4 linked regions of the Xenopus tropicalis genome follow. The protein of the gene in region 2 purifies or fractionates together with the protein of the main gene of each other region. This does not show direct contact. Links are inferred from orthologs where the notes say so. Each region holds a gene or a part of one and is shown on either strand. Other genes may lie near its edges.

The links.
Region 1: the proteins of stat1 (region 2) and src purify together in Homo sapiens (affinity purification with western blotting; 3 studies listed by BioGRID). This does not show direct contact. The link is inferred for Xenopus tropicalis from reciprocal best matches to the Homo sapiens genes STAT1 and SRC.
Region 3: the proteins of stat1 (region 2) and irf9 purify together in Homo sapiens (affinity purification with western blotting; 5 studies listed by BioGRID and IntAct, with this or other methods). This does not show direct contact. The link is inferred for Xenopus tropicalis from reciprocal best matches to the Homo sapiens genes STAT1 and IRF9.
Region 4: the proteins of stat1 (region 2) and pias1 purify together in Homo sapiens (affinity purification with western blotting; 5 studies listed by BioGRID). This does not show direct contact. The link is inferred for Xenopus tropicalis from reciprocal best matches to the Homo sapiens genes STAT1 and PIAS1.

Annotation. Positions count from the first base shown.
Region 1 is NC_030686.2:39,477,087-39,481,400, forward strand, and holds the start of src (proto-oncogene tyrosine-protein kinase Src), read right to left. Parts: upstream 2,854-4,314; 5' UTR 2,692-2,853; intron 2,561-2,691; exon of another isoform or gene 2,485-2,560; coding exon of another isoform or gene 2,476-2,484; intron 1-2,475. UniProt on the Homo sapiens protein: Non-receptor protein tyrosine kinase which is activated following engagement of many different classes of cellular receptors including immune response receptors, integrins and other adhesion receptors, receptor protein tyrosine kinases, G protein-coupled receptors as well as cytokine receptors.
Region 2 is NC_030685.2:43,531,893-43,535,951, forward strand, and holds the start of stat1 (signal transducer and activator of transcription 1-alpha/beta), read right to left. Parts: upstream 2,914-4,059; 5' UTR 2,770-2,913; intron 1-2,769. UniProt on the Homo sapiens protein: Signal transducer and transcription activator that mediates cellular responses to interferons (IFNs), cytokine KITLG/SCF and other cytokines and other growth factors.
Region 3 is NC_030677.2:139,369,420-139,373,632, forward strand, and holds the start of irf9 (interferon regulatory factor 9), read right to left. Parts: upstream 2,854-4,213; 5' UTR 2,656-2,853; intron 1-2,655.
Region 4 is NC_030679.2:117,659,420-117,663,551, forward strand, and holds the start of pias1 (E3 SUMO-protein ligase PIAS1), read left to right. Parts: upstream 1-1,279; 5' UTR 1,280-1,358; coding exon 1,359-1,382; intron 1,383-1,405; exon of another isoform or gene 1,406-1,523; intron 1,524-1,998; exon of another isoform or gene 1,999-2,139; intron 2,140-4,132. UniProt on the Homo sapiens protein: Functions as an E3-type small ubiquitin-like modifier (SUMO) ligase, stabilizing the interaction between UBE2I and the substrate, and as a SUMO-tethering factor. Catalyzes sumoylation of various proteins, such as CEBPB, MRE11, MTA1, PTK2 and PML.

The DNA.
Region 1 (4,314 bases), on a different chromosome or scaffold from region 2:
ACAGGGTGAGAGAGGGGAGTACACTCCAGATTGCATTCTGATAGACTCAACAGGGATTGAGGCACGTGTGAAGGTGAGCTGGGATTTAGCTGGCTCTAAGGCAACTGTAGCCTCCACCTAGTACAAAACTACAACTCCCATCACCCTCGGGAGTTGTAGCTTTGCACTAGAGGGAGGCCAGAGCATAAATTTTTGGTTGAAAAGACCTGCTGATTTTATCTAAAGGTTATTTGCTAAGATACATTCATGTGTCAGTATATTTGATAAGCCGATGATAACAAAGCCTGGCACACGTTGCCCTTTACCCAGCCTAGCTACATAGGCCCTTCCCAACAACCTAGCATACATACCCCTGTATCAGAAGCCTTTCACTTGTACCAACAGTCTGGTACATATAGCCCTTTACATACAGTGTAGCAAATATACCTCTTTGACTACAGCCTGGCACATGTATCATTGTACTCAGAGCTTGAGAACTCACATACATATACCTACAGCCTGGCACATATACCACTGTACCCACTGCTTGGCACTTATGTACCTATACCTATAGCCTGGCACATATACCACTGTACCCGCTGCTTGGCACTTATGTACCTATACCTTCAGCCTGGCACATATACCACTGTACCCGCTGCTTGGCACTTATGTACCTATACCTTCAGCCTGGCACATATACCACTGTACCTGCTGCTTGGCCCTTATGTACCTATACCTACAGCCTGGCACATATACTACTGTACCCGCTGCTTGGCACTTATGTACCTATACCTTCAGCCTGGCACATATATCACTGTACCTGTTGCTTGGCCCTTATGTACCTATACCTACAGCCTGGCACATATACCACTGTACCCACTGCTTGGCACTTATGTACCTATACCTACAGCCTGGCACATATATCACTGTACCTGTTGCTTGGCCCTTATGTACCTATACCTACAGCCTGGCACATATACCACTGTACCCGCTGCTTGGCACTTATGTACCTATACCTACAGCCTGGTAAACAGCCCCTTCCTTTATCTAAAGCCTGGCACATATACCACTGTACCCACTGCTTGGCACTCATGTACCTATACCTACAGCTAGGGATGCACTGAATTGAATCAGAACACTAAAAATCATGTGCCTTTTTGTCATATAAACACAGAAGTTGAAATTTTTTCAGCGCAACCTGCGCACGAGGCTCGCTTTAACCCTTCCCTATCCTAATTTACATATGCTTGGTATTTGGCCGAATCCTTTACGAAGGACACTGAGTTTGACGGAATCTGAAAATAGTGGGTTTGGTGCATCCTACGTATAACCTAGCACCCTTAGCCCTTTACCTACAACCTGGCACTAACAAGGCGACATTGGAAAGTTATGATCATGGCCCTAAAGCCTCCTGCTTTAAAAGCTGCACAGCAAATGGTTAAAAGGGGGAGGGATACCCATTTGCTTGAGTACATTCATAAACATTTACCCTTGCCATTTGCTAATTGTAGCAATCACATAGTTAAAAAAAAAAACAATGCTGCCAGCTCTGTATGACATTTAATACCAATCTAAATTTAGATATAAACTATAATAATTGTGCAACCCACTGCCATAGTAGCTGTTTGACCATTGTGTGTGTTTATATGCAGAATTGTTCCACATACATACACAGGTACATAGCATAGTTTTGCTCCCCAGAACTACCCATACCTATAGAGCTGGGTTGAATTTTAACTCTCAACTTCAACCAGTAGCAGGATGGCCTTTGGTTTATTATAGAGAGGACTCACAAGTGTACAATCTATGATAACCCACCATGCACGCCTTGTACCCTTCACCACTCCTCCATGCATGCCCTGTACTCTCCAGCCATCCTTTACTCCCTGTACCATTTACCCACACACACCCTGTACCCTCCTGCATTCCCCCATACATGCCCTGTACCCTCCTGCATTCCCCCATACATGCCCTGTACCCTCCTGCATTCCCCCCATACATGCCCTGTATACTATAGCATTCCCCCCATACATGCCCTGTATACTATAGCATTCCCCCCATACATGCCCTGTATACTATAGCATTCCCCCCATACATGCCCTGTATACTATAGCATTCCCCCCATACATGCCCTGTATACTATAGCATTCCCCCCATACATGCCCTGTATACTATAGCATTCCCCCCATACATGCCCTGTATACTATAGCATTCCCCCCATACATGCCCTGTATACTATAGCATTCCCCCCATACATGCCCTGTATACTATAGCATTCCCCCATACATGCCCTGTATACTATAGAATTCCCCCCATCCATGCCCAGCACACCCAATATTGCTAACTAGCCCCTTCACTCCCCAATATTCTCTCAACTCCAGACTTGCCCAGTGACTCCCAGCATGCCCCCATCTCAAAATCATGTGTTAAATGTACGCTAGCTTATTGGCCCAGAAGTTTAACCCCTGATGTTCGCAGGAAACATGCTGCACTTACCCTGACCATTAAAGGGCCTGTGTGCACAACATATACACAGGCATACCCACCGAATACCGGGCCAGAGTGAGATTTAAAGGCCCATATGGTAGCAGTGCTCCAAATACCCCCAAAGGCGTTACATACACCATTCCCAAGCAGCCTATAGCGCCCCCATTCTCTGCACCCGTGGTACTATCCTACGCCCCCTAGCGGCACGGTGCAGCCACTACTTACCTTGTCCTGCCTGAGATATCGGGAGATTCCACTCTCCGGGAACCCCCCTCACACAGAGGGGGGCAAGAGCGCTCTTCTCGTACCCACTATCTCCCGGTGCCTCTCCCCACACATCAGATTCCTCCTGGGCCGGGAAGTTTGGGGATCTACTCAGCGTACGGTTCACGCCCGGCCGGCTCCAGCTCCCTCCTCCCCTCCGCCTGTGCTGCCCTCCCCCGGGTCCGCCTGTCCCTCCTCCCACTGAATCAGCCCTGGCCCAGCCTGTCACTCCCGTTGGGGGGTCTCTGTACTGCCCCAGTGACACCCAGCCTGCTCTCTCACCACAGTCCGGGGCGCTTATTAATTCGGCCTGTCCCTTTTTGTCTTTCCCCTTTGTCCTTCCCCTTTCATTTGCATTATTCCCCTCTCAGATCCCACCTCTAATCCCAACACTTCCCCCTCTCTCCTCCTCCCCTCCCAGAGCTAGCCTGGCTTCCCTTGTCTTCCTTTCTCTCATTCTTCCCTGGTGAGTCGCACCGACTGATTCACTCAACTAGAGGAATTACACAACCCTATACTTCTCCCCATACACCCAGCACCCACCCCTCTAGTACTTCTCCCCATACACCCAGCACCCACCCCTCTAGTACTTCTCCCCATACACCCAGCACCCACCCCTCTAGTACTTCTCCCCATACACCCAGCACCCACCCCTCTAGTACTTCTCCCCATACACCCAGCACCCACCCCTCTAGTACTTCTCCCCATACACCCAGCACCCACCCCTCTAGTACTTCTCCCCATACACCCAGCACCCACCCCTCTAGTACTTCTCCCCATACACCCAGCACCCACCCCTCTAGTACTTCTCCCCATACACCCAGCATTACATTAACATTTATTTATAAAGCGCCCACCCCTCTAGTACTTCTCCCCATACACCCAGCACCCACCTCTCTAGTACTTCTCCCCATACACCCAGCATTACATTAACATTTATTTATAAAGCGCCCACCCCTCTAGTACTTCTCCCCATACACCCAGCACCCACCCCTCTATTACTTCTCCCCATACACCCAGCACCCACCTCTCTAGTACTTCTCCCCATACACCCAGCACCCACCCCTCTAGTACTTCTCCCCATACACCCAGCACCCACCCCTCTAGTACTTCTCCCCATACACCCAGCACCCACCTCTCTAGTACTTCTCCCCATACACCCAGCACCCACCCCTCTAGTACTTCTTCCCATACACCCAGCACCCACCTCTCTAGTACTTCTCCCCATACACCCAGCACCCACCCCTCTAGTACTTCTCCCCATACACCCAGCACCCACCCCTCTAGTACTTCTCCCCATACACCCAGCACCCACCTCTCTAGTACTTCTCCCCATACACCCAGCACCCACCTCTCTAGTACTTCTACCCATACACCCAGCACCCACCCCTCTAGTACTTCTCCCCATACACCCAGCACCCACCTCTCTAGTACTTCTCCCCATACACCAAGCTCACATGTCTCTAGTACTTCACCCCATACACCCAGCACCCGCGCCTCTAGTACTTCACCCCATGCACCCAGCACTCCCACCTCTAGTACTTTTCCCTAGCTCTTTGTGAACTATTGTTTGGATGACTGTTA
Region 2 (4,059 bases):
CTGCATGAAACTTATAGTTTTGCACAATTTAGTATCATAATAAAATATATAATACGTAGTATAGTAGTAATACACACCTCCAGGTTATTATTAAACAAGTTAAAAAGCAAAGACCAAAGACAGACCCCTGCGGTACTCCACTAACAACACTGGTCCAATTGGAAAATGTTCAATTTAACAGCACTCTCTGCAATCTATCCTTCAGTCAGTTCTCTATCCAATTACAGGTATGGAATCCCTTATCCGGAAACCAGTTATCCAGAAAGCTCCGAATTACAGAAAGCCCGTCTCCCATACCCTCCATTTTAATTACCTAATTTTACCTAAGAAAACTGGAAAAACTTATTGACTCGAGTATAAGCCTAGGTAGGCCCTGGACACCCTGGACACTCATTGGTGAACCAACCCTAGTAACTCTGGGGTAGGCACCCTGGATATTTACCGCTAAAAAGTCAACAATACATTCCACCATCTTGTTCTGCCCCCTAGAAGCCTGCGCCATGGCGTATAATATAAAGGTTCCGTTTCCAGCTTCAAGAACTCCATTAGCAAAGGGAAAAGTCGTGTCTCTTCCTTATATTTTATTGTCAGTAGCCACCGGCAAACAAGCTAGTATAGGCCACCAGTAGCAGGTAGGTAGGCAGGCCTGGACTGGGATTCGAAATAGGCCCTGGCATTTCAAGTACACAGGGGCCCAAAAAGCCCCCCAGCCCAATAAATAGTGACTGTCTGTGGCATCTTACATCAGCCCCTCTGGCATTTGCCAGAACCCAGAGATTGCCAGTCCAGGCCTGTAAGTATACAATACCTGCCTAGGGACCCACTGACTGAGCTTTCCATATCTGCACAAGGTTGTTTCCCATAATTCCCATGCACTCCCATAGTGCAATGCGTACCGGCCAAGGCCCAACCAGAACATTCAGAACACTCTCTGTAGGGCACAACAGTGATCCGAGGGGGTCAGCTGACATCCAGATAAATAAACGGCTCATGTACAGAATCTGTATATAGTGATGCACTCATTGTAATATTATTGTACAAAGAACTACAATTCCCAACATGCTCCAAATGACCACAATGGTGATTTATCCTTTTGACTTTACTTAGCTAGCAGCCATAGAGCAGGTGGTAGTGATATAGGGTAATGTATAATTTAATAAATCTGGGATTTGTAGTTCCCAGATTGCCTTCTTATCTGTGCCCCCTTCCTTTGTTTCTCTCCTTATCACCCAACACCCTTTCTGCGTACGCATTTGTACATGCCCAAAATATTGTTGTGTGCACATGCATGCGTGCGTTGGTTCGTGCACGCACGCCCGTCCAGCCCTCTGTCCAGCCGCGGGGAGGGAAGAGGGGTGCCCCGTAAAACAAACTTGTTCAGCCTCGAATCCTTATACTCGAGTATAAGCCGAGGGTTCGTTTTTCAGCACATACAGGTCCATGTTAATCTAGGAAAGTCCTGCCCAGTTTACCAAATTAGGAAAACCGGGCAGAGAGTTTTGGCCCAGACAGCCCTTCTGGAAACCGTGTTCTCTGGGGAAACCCGACTATTCAATGTATTTTTACAGTGCAACTGCTTCACATACACCAATAACAGTTTATACAACAAGCTAAGAACAGATGCATAAATTACAATAGGTTTGGTTCTTACACGTGTCAAATGAAATCATAAAATAGGGCAATCATTGCCAGTAAATAGAATATTCGTAGGTAATAAATGAACAGCTATAAACTTTAAATTGTAAAATAATATATATTCTTAATTTATGAGGAGCAGTATCTCTAATACAGGGAGTGGAACGGTCTATTTGCACTAGAAGAGCTGAATTTAAAAATTAATTGTTAGGGGCCTTCTTTTGCCACCCCTGGTAAACTGTTGCACACTCCCGTCTTATGGCAGGAATGGTCATGCTGGCATCATTTTTGATAGCGATATTTTATTCTGTAAGTGAACATGACATGATTTAGTTATTAATTGGATATGACAACTGAAGGAGAGGGTAAAATCAAAGACAACCCTAAGGCAATAGGCCATTAGAGCGCTTGTTATTTCTAGGGTGTTCTAAAGTTTGCACTGGGAAAAAGGGTTATTCTGTCTTATATTCAAATAGAAATGTCTGTCAAAAAACTCAGAGATCAGAGTTGAGACTGAAAAATACAGGATAAATTTGTCACCCAGTGGTATTGGAATACATTCAAGTTAATTAAACCCACAGACATGTTGTGTAGATTTTTTTTTTTAGATGAATTGTGCAAATAAAATTTGCTTGGCTAAGTAGTGGCAAATATTAAACAATAGCAGTGCAGATTTGCAGCTCAACTTAACAGTACATGACAGCCTTTAGAGTGCTCACAAACCAATGTAAATTAAAATAGGGGTTTCCAAAAAACAAAAGTCACTGTGGTAAGTGATACACCAGCTGTACACAAGGATTCACAAATGGGCAGGATTACTCAGCATAAAGCAGATTAAACATGGGCTGTGCACACTGGAGTTTATAACCAAGTAGACCAAATACAGAATGATCCAGTCGGCTTATTAATCAAAACTGGGCAAATGTTAGCAGAGGCAGAATGATGCACACAATTACGAAAATTATATAATATATGCTGCAGTATAGTGATGAGTATATAATAGACCAAAAGAGCAATGGGGTTGCCCAGACAGGCACAGTTATAAAAACAGAATCATTAGCAGAAGCGTTTATACCGATGATGTCCTAAAATGGGCGCCGTACAGTGGAGTAAAATGTCTCTCTTTCAACGTACCTGACGCCGTCCTGTATAATAAGCTCAAGAAAGCAAAATAAAACGTCTTGAAATTTACTTTGATTCCGGATACCTCTAGAATCACCAACTCACACACACAAAACCGAAAGAAGAAATGAGGGTACAGCCCTTACTTCCTAGACTGCAAGCTATCCCCGCCTCTAAATCTTGACTTCAGCAAATCATAAAATTGTTTGCTGGCTGTTACTTTAAGTTGGATTGCCTCCCTCTGCTTTGATGCGGACACTTCTTAAAGGGCACCGAAACGATTAATTTGTGCACATTTAATCTTGCTGTAGCAAACAGGCTACTTTTTACAGTTTACTTTTTCAGAACTTTTCTTCTTATATGTATTATATGTAACACTATTTTGTCTTAGATTAGGCCAACCCAGGCTTGTAGTGTAATATAGAGCATGTGTTACATGTGACCCTTAATTCTTCGGCATGGGCCTCTGCTATGTGGGAGATGTAAGATAGGAGCTGAGGGTGTAGTTGAACTACAACTTTCTGATGCTGTGTAGTGTAGATGGTATAAATGGACGCAGAAAGGTTCTTGCTGGTGAACTATAATACAGATTTATTGGTCAAAGACACAGATGTTATGCAGGGTTATCATACTCACAGACATGCAGATTGAAATGGTACAATGAGGGATTTCTCTTTTGTAGAAGAGAGAGTGTACACCGGTTTACCCCACCTCTTGGTAGAGTCTGGGCCGGGATATACACCTTTCAACCAGTACCCCTTGAGAGATAGTGCAAGTAGTAGGAACTCCTTCAGGTTGATAACCTCTAGTGGATTGAGTCCTCCTAGAGCCCTGCACTGAGACAACATTGCCGGATAGGAGAAATACTCCTGGATCTAATCATTCCTTTGGTAGGCTAATGGCCCTTTCTAGCTAGAGCTGACTATGCTCACTTCTACTAGAGAGTGCTATTAAATAAATCTGCTGTGCTTACTTATCCTCATTCACAGGGCCCTGTCCCTGACTTATACAATTAGTAAGGTGTTCTTTGGACTAAGGTGGCTTACTGGGGCCTGTTGCAGCACCCAGGCTCAGAAGGAGCTGTGCTTAGGTAGCAGACAGGCAGCCAAAGAGGAAGCCACTCCTCCCTGCTAGACGCTATTTCAGTCTGCAGGGGGAGTGGTCAACCTGACTAAATCTATAGGGAATAGTGTTAGAACAGTAACTTAAGTACAGGGGCTCTGCCCAATAACAATAGAGGTGTGAAGAGGTAGAGGATAAAGCCATAGGGAGCTTAACCCTATGGGTCCCTACATATATATA
Region 3 (4,213 bases), on a different chromosome or scaffold from region 2:
AGTAGCAAACTGCTACATAATCTGACGGATGCACAGTAAATGGTTCCAATACTACAAAAAAAAAAAAAAAAGACCAGCAAGACTGAGATTTCTTGTAAAAGAATGTGAAATATATGTTTGTGAAATATATACATACACACTGAGGTCATTTGGAGGGACTAAACTTGATTCAACCCAAATTAACTATGTAATTACCTTATACGAGAGTGTTATTATGAGAGTGATAGAGTTGCCTGTTGTAATGGCACTACTTTTAACTTGCCGAGTATTGCAAAGAGCTTCATCTAGGAGCTACAGCCAATAAATATGTTTGGTCTAACAAGATCTACCAGGAAGATAAGCCACAAAGAGTTTGAAAACAAGTTCTACACTTGCCTCGGGAATGGTGTTTTGAAAAAAATAGGCATGAAAAACAAGAAAGACATGCTAACTGCATACACATACGAACATATTTCTTAAAGTGCAGCTTTCCAGTCTTCAGGTAAGGCTCAGACTGTGTCTGAGTTTTCCAACAACTGGAAAGCGGTAGTAACATTCATAAAAGTTTTCTTTACTAGTTTGAATTTTTAGTTCTAGTCAAATTCATGCACAGACTTGTCACTCCCATACAGCACAGGTATAATTGATTGATTCATATTAGTTACTGCCCTCAGAGACCCTACCAAGCTAGGCTACCTCTGTATAGATAGAATAGATCTTGCACGCCTTGTCCACCATTCTCCCATGATACTTCAGTTCCCAGATGCCTAGCTACTAGTGATGTGCGGGTCGAGAAACCCTCGACCCTGACCTGCCCACTCCCAACCCTAACCATACCTGACCCGGCTTCTCCCCTCTAATTTATAGACCCTGCCCACAATGACTTCACAAAAGGGGTGGGTGTGTCGGGCACGTGCCTATAAATTAACAGGCCAGAAGAGGAAGCCAGCAGTGTTAGGTGCTGTGATGTGCCAAGGTCAGCCTGACCCAGGGGTAAACCGTGGGTATCAGGCCAGCCCGCACATCACTACTAGCTACTATACATCAAGATTTGCAGCAGCAATCAGCGAGTCAGCTGCTATCCATATACAATGGACATTGTTCGACTGTGATGCACCATGTCGGTCAGACAAGGAAGTGAAGAAGAGCAACAATTATGCTTTACTTGCTGCTGTTCTAATTGTTTGTATGCTATGCATGACTGATCAGAACAGTAGTAAGGTTGCTGCTTGTTTGTTTCATTTATGGGCAGACAGCACCTGTGGCTGATCCATGTTTTGCCACTGTAATTTTTCCCAGGAGCATGTTTCCATATCAGCCTATGAGCAGGTAGCATTTGCTGGTCAACTGTTGAAAGCAAACATCTTGTAGGTTGATATAGGTTGCTGTACCCGGGCGACTAATCTCCCCTAATCATCCCACCGGCTATAATGTAGATCGGCAGTGGGATGGCATACACGGCACTGCAGTTTGCCATAGTCACCTCAAGAGGAAAGTTCGGCAAATCATGGCGCTGGGTATGCCATCTCACCGGCGATTTACATTCTAGCCCAGGGGTGTCCCGATGACTAGGGAATGTGGAAGTGCGGTGTGAATGCGTACGTACACATTCACGCAGCACTTCCGCATCCCCGGCTTGATTGCGGTCCACCAGGAATCCATGGGGGATCGACTGGTGGACCACGTTCGGCGTATTGGCCCCCTGTTCTACCCGGTGGGATGGCGCTGCGGGGAGATTAGTCGCCCGCGACAAGGGAGATTGGTCACAGCCCTAAATATGTTTATGTAATAAAATACTATGCACAGTAACACTTAGCAACCAATAAGATGTTTACTTTTAAACAAATCAACAGGTTTCCTGCTGATTGGTTGCTATAGGTGATAAGAACTGTGGGAAACTTTACACCTTATATTAAATAGCCCTCTAAGTTTGTTTTTATGTATTGGAATATTTTCCATAAAGTTCATAAGCATGTTAAAATCCCCCCCAAAAAATACAACTGTTTTGCCTAACCGCACCACTGATGGTGGAAACAATTTTAATGTGGAACTACACTTTACTTAGAATTCAATAATTGGGACTACATTTACCATGATGCCCTATTGATTACGTTTTAAACTGCTAAACATTATATTCAACAAATGTAAAGCATTTCTTAATCCAGCAAAAGTATACTCTTCTTCCACTTATATATACACAATAATCAATCGATAAAGTTTTAAATTTCCAAACATAATACTCCCCTCCCTATGTATAAAGTATTTCAGTTACTCAATACAATGGGAGTACATTCTCCTTTCAAAATTAGGTGGGACTACAATTCCCATAATCCACTATTGATCAATCTGAAAAAGGGGTTGGGAATTTGTTTTGTAAATTTCACTTTTGTGTATTACACTTTATTTCTTAAAAAAAAAGGGTGGATTTGTCCCCAGAAACATCTACTGTCCTTGTCAGCCTGTGGCGCAATAAATTGGCACCGTGCCTAAAAAAATTCCTATTTTTGCAGCAAACCTACTAAGGTAGAATGCATAAAGTGCAATGAGAAGCGCAGTCCTTATAAAATGAAATGACAGCATATTCTCAAGCACATGGCATTGCAAATAGAGACCCACCAACTTGTTCTTCCGCATACAAACTAGCAGCAGGGAAGCCATTAGTCTGCACCCACATACCTTGTGTTAGTTATATCTGCACTTCCCTGCCTTGCTTCAGTCAGAAGTTTCGCTTGTCAGTGGTGGGCGCTTCCTCTTCTCTTCCCCTGTTTATTCCACCAGCAAATATCTCCGCTAACACTCCCCCCGCCCTTACCAGTTTCCTCGTCTCTCTAAGATCAGCCTCCTCCTTTTCCCCGAAATCACGTGACCATCAGCAAGCCACTAATAGGACTTGCCTACAATGTGCTTGGATTTGTGTGTGTGTGGGGTTAATCGCGTCACAACGATGTTATTGGTTATTGTAGAGCTAATAAACAGCGAAATAAGAACACACCCAAGGTGATACTGACTCACCCCTACAGCCTATGATTCGTCCACATGTATATATTACATTAGTGCACATCCAATTACCTATTACATTAGAGAAATGGAAGATATAACATTTGTAATCGGATGTGTACTAATATAATCTGATGTGCACCAACTGCACAACCAGTCTCTATAATATAATTGAGATTAATGAAAGTCTCTGGGACTGACCCAACTCTAGGGGACACATTTACTAAGACACGAATCTGAACCGAATTGGAAAAATTCCGACTTGAAAACGAACATTTTGCGACTTTTTCGTATTTTTTGCGATTTTTTCGGCGTCTTTACGACTTTTCGGAAATTGTCGCGACTTTTTCGTTACCAATACGATTTGCGCGAAAAAACGCGAGTTTTTCGTAGCCATTCCGAAAGTTGCGCAAAATCGCCCGATTTTTCTGTAGCGTTAAAACTTGCGCGAAAAGTTTCGCCTTTTTCGTAGCGTTAAAACTTAAAAGGTGCAACTTTTTGCGCAAGTTTTAACGCTACGAAAAATCGACAGATTTTGCGCAACTTTCGGAATGGCTACGAAAAACTCGCGTTTTTTCGCACAAATCGTATTAGTAACGAAAAAGTCACAAAATTTTTCCGAAAAAAATCGCAAAATACCGATCATTACGAAAAAAAACGCAATCGGACGCATTCGGCCCGTTCGTGGCTTAGTAAATGTGCCCCTAGGTCTCATCAAGGGGTATAGATGGACTGTTTTGGTCAGTTTTGGTTGCACAGTACAAATGTATGTAATTTATATATATAAACTAGATAACATCTGTATGGATTTATGTAATTTATGACTCAGAAGGGCTTTAGGAGCAGGCAAGCAGATACCTACTGAAGTCCCTTGTGACTGTGTAGGACATTCTCCAGATACAAAACATATGTATAGTGGCAGTGATGTTGGATTCCCTTGTATCACATGTTTGTGCCACTATAGTTTTTCCAAGGATGTAGAATATGTGGGTATAACCAATTGTGCACACAGAACATATATTTTCTGTGTACTTGTTACACTATGGGTGGGGTATATTGTACTGTTTTGGTTTGTTTTTTTGTACAGCATGAATGAATGAATGAATGAACTTATGTCCAAGAAGAGAAGGAGTTTCCATAAACCTGGCCTACAATGAAGCTTACACCAGACTTGGAATTCAGATATTGGCATCACTTGCAATTTTCTCTTTCAGTGGCACAAGGCTATATCATTCTA
Region 4 (4,132 bases), on a different chromosome or scaffold from region 2:
GCACTGACCTAACAAACATCCACAGGTTCAGCCTGCTTTGATTCATTGTGTGTAATTTAATAAGATATATAGGAACCTGGAATAGACACAGGGCTTGAGGAGGGTAGTGTTGTGCCTACACATGCAAATGACTGTAGTGGATCACACCTTAATGCATGTGCAGTGTAGCGGTACAATAAAAAGTACCTAGGTCCAGTGCATTTTTTAGAGAAGAAGAACACTGGCCATGGGGTCCTAGGTTAGAGTTACTGGTGGGTGACCAGTTTTTTTACCCCCCAGTCAGTTTGGCTTTCTTGTCTTTCAAGGCTTGGGGCACACTGGCATATTGTCTGCTGTTGCAGAAGTGTTTGATCATTTCCATTTGTCTTGTCTATAGCAGAGACAGACAGATTTTGTCTAGAAACAATTTTCTGGTCAAGCTCTGCCTGCAACCAGCAGTTCCATTCAATATCTATGAACTGAGTGACGGGCAGAATGGTCACAATCTAACCAGTGAGGAATAAACCCCTGTGCCATAGGCCAATTGGTGTGTCTGGGCAAGCCGACAAGCCACACAGGCTCCAGCTTGTACAGTGTATATATCTAACAACAATAGCTATTAGTGGGAGGAAGGACTACCAGAGAGGTAATAGAGGCACTTGGACACAATTAATGTGTGTCACCAATTGTGACAATGAGCAATGAGTGGCTTTTTTGGTGCTTCTACTGAGGCAAAATCTAGCAACACACCTTCTCCCAGGAGGCACCTATGTTAAAGAACTGTAAGCAATGATGGACAAAATTTTTTAATACGTCAGCCTTCAAGTTAAAATAAGACAAAAATGTCTCACTTTTGCTTTGGAGGACTCGTATTGTGTAAACTCCCTAAACGCGATGCTTGGGCCTGATACAGGAACACAGGATGGGGTATATTAATCATGTTATGCAAAAAGTGGAGTGATGCATTACCTGTGATGTTGCCCAGGGCAACCAATCAGCTATTAGATTTCAAGTTTCAAGAACACCAAAGCAAAACATCTCAATGGCTGCTATGAGCAACATCACCAGTAATGATTCACTCCACTTTTTACACAGCATGATAAATATAAGTATAGTCTATTCCACCAATCTACCTAGCCTTTGTGTTACCGACAGCACTTAGGCTAGCTATAGGACCGCAACACTTTCCCCGCAAAAAGAGGGGCTAATGTGAGCCGCACCGTATCCCCTCTTCTTCCCCACCCGAATGCAGCACCGCTCTTATACAACTCGCAGCTTATGCAATTGGCGCCTTTTTTCGAATCCTGCGTAGTGACGCAACGAGTCGCGTCCGAGCCACGTCGCGGCGGGTTCATTACGCCTGCGCGCAAAGCAGCAAGATGGCGGACAGTGCGGAACTGAAGGTAAAGCGCAGCTGGAATTGCGGGACCGGGATTGCGGTCTCCGCTATGTATTGGCAATTGGGAGGTCGGGTGTGTTGAAGCGAATGGCCGGGGGAACTCGCAGAAGCGGCTCCCGGAAGCAGAGGGAGTTATGTTGCATGTGTAAGGCAGAGGGGCCCTTGTTATTGTTGGTGCTGCCCGGGTGGAGGGGGCTGGTGAGGGCATGTTGGTTAGGCTGGTAGGAGGGCGAGGGTCCTGATGCACACACGGAGCGAGGGAATGTGAGCGGCGGCAGCCCGGGCAGGGCGCACGGTAGGGGCTGCTGGGAGCTCTCCCAAGGGATGAGTGAGAGGAAGATGCTCCTACTTGGTACTTGGTCTCTTTAATAAGCGATGTTGCGCGTCTCCTGTTGCTGCCCGACCCCCCAATCCATCACTACTGACAAGCGGCTGTCAGGGGATGTGCGATACTTTAATGAAAGGAAGTTTCTGCGCCGTGTGGACTTTATTCCGCTTCATTCGGGGATCTGTCGGCTCCAGGATACTTTATCGCACACAGTCCTGCCCGCTAAGCCCGGCGTAATGACGGGGGGGGGGGGGCTGTCAGGGTTGCCAAGCAACAGTTCTCATTTAATAACATTTCTCGGGGATGGATTCCTATCTTGTGCTGACAAATAAGCAGCGTTTATTCGGGATCTTAAAAACGTTTGGCTTGATGTTCACTTTGCAGAGTCCCGGGTTGAGCTGCTTGTTTCGGCTGATTCATACAGAGATCTGGGGTGCGTGTGAGGTGCTTCTATTTCTTATAAAATTGCTGTTTATTTTACGTTTATTTTACATGTCCCTATCTCCTGTCACCATGCTCAGGGATCCTCTGTGCCTGCTACCCTTCCGCTAACTCCCCTCCCCCACTCGCCTCCCCTCCCCCACCCTTCCTCTGCATGGCCCTGTCTCTCTCCCCAGACATCATGTTGCTCTGCTGATTGATAGGAAGTGATAGTACCTGGTGGGCTTGCATCCCTTGTAGAGCTGATAGAGGGGCTTCACAGAATGCTTTCTCCTCCAAGTTTCCCCTCTATGCATTGGGCACCGCTTGCAGCAAACTTTCTTCCTGCTGTACCATCTTCTCTTAACTGGGAGCCTGTGTGCTGTCTGATAAACACACAGATGTGCTGTACCGTAACTTGCATCTCTCAAAAATCCACTGTATTGGGATTCGGCTGATCCCCCAAATATTTCATGAAAGAATACTAAACCGAATCCTAACTTGCCTATGAAAATGAAGGCACAGAAGGTGTAAAAACAACCGCACGTGGTGAAAAATGTTCAACTTCAGCTTTTATATGGTGAAAAGTCACATAATTTGAAGGATTTGTTTTAGCCAGGCCCACAGATTCGGCTCAATCTTGAAGAAAAAGCCGGAATCTTGGCCGAATCTGGAACCAAATCCTGGATTCTGTGCATCCCTAGTCTGAGGCAAGGAGTTGTCATTTTATTGACTTTGGTATATCAAGGCTATGCATTAGTACTGTTGTACTATAGTAAGTGCTTAAGAATAGCCTGTTGCACCTGTATATATTCAGTGTACTTTGTAATTTTAATTGTGTAATTCATATATTTATACATTGTAATGTATGCATTTTAGATTGTGAGATATTGTAAGATATAACAGGCAGAGCCTTCTTTACCTAATGAATCAGTCAGTAATTGTGTGATTAATGTGTATACCCTCTCCAGACAGGAGTGAGCTGCATTGAAGCACACAGACCCACAGTATAATCCAATTGCTGGCCTGTCAGGCTGCTTTGATACTATGAATCAGTGGGCAAATTTGGCAGGCTATGTTCTGCTCTGTATCTGAAAGCCTGACAGGCTAAAGCTGAGCAAAGAATGGGGTTTGTTTACACAGAAGGCTTTCCAGTGGTGTGCTGACTTGTTTTGATTGTGCATGTAGGTATCAGGAATTAGAACACGCTTTTCATTTTTAAATTTTGCCCTGTGTAGCGTAGGAATATAAGATGATGGTATTTGCTGCCCCTTTTGAATGCATGGCTAGTTTTTATACTTTTCTCTGCAATTTAAGATGGCCATGATGACATTGAGGTGGACAATATCAGGCTGATAGCTTGGCCCTCGGCCCAACAATTGGGTCATAATTGTCACCATGTAGGCAGTCGAATAGAGGACCCAGTCAACCCACAGATGTGGCCTTCAATCCTATGGGGAAATCAAACCTACCTGATTGACATATTGCCTGATTTTTGTCCAGATATCGGTTGAGTAGGCCCTGTCGTGGGGACCCCATACATGGGTGGATAAGCTGCTTATCCTGCTTGTCTGCTAAATTGGTGGGCATTAACTGGCATGATTCTACCATTTGAGGACACGATGTATGCTGCAATGTTTGGTCTGACCAAGCTAATAACTTTCATTAACCTCTATAGCTGTGCATGGAAAGCTCGCATACAAGTAATTATGTGCAAGTACTAAGTAGGGCCTGATTCTGACTGCAGTTCTGCCTCTGAAACAATAACATGACTAATATACTGGTGCTTATAAACAATCTGACATAAGTAGATGAATATATGCAGGAGGACTTAGGTATTGTTGTTCTAAACATTAAGAAATGCCTTGTGCATACTTGAGGAATTAGTTACAATGAGGAAATGAAGCATGGGCATAGTGACTATTCATCAGATGCTCATGGCACTAACATCATATTGTAATTATATGTTGGTAGTCCATTATGTATGCTGATATTTGGATTCTATA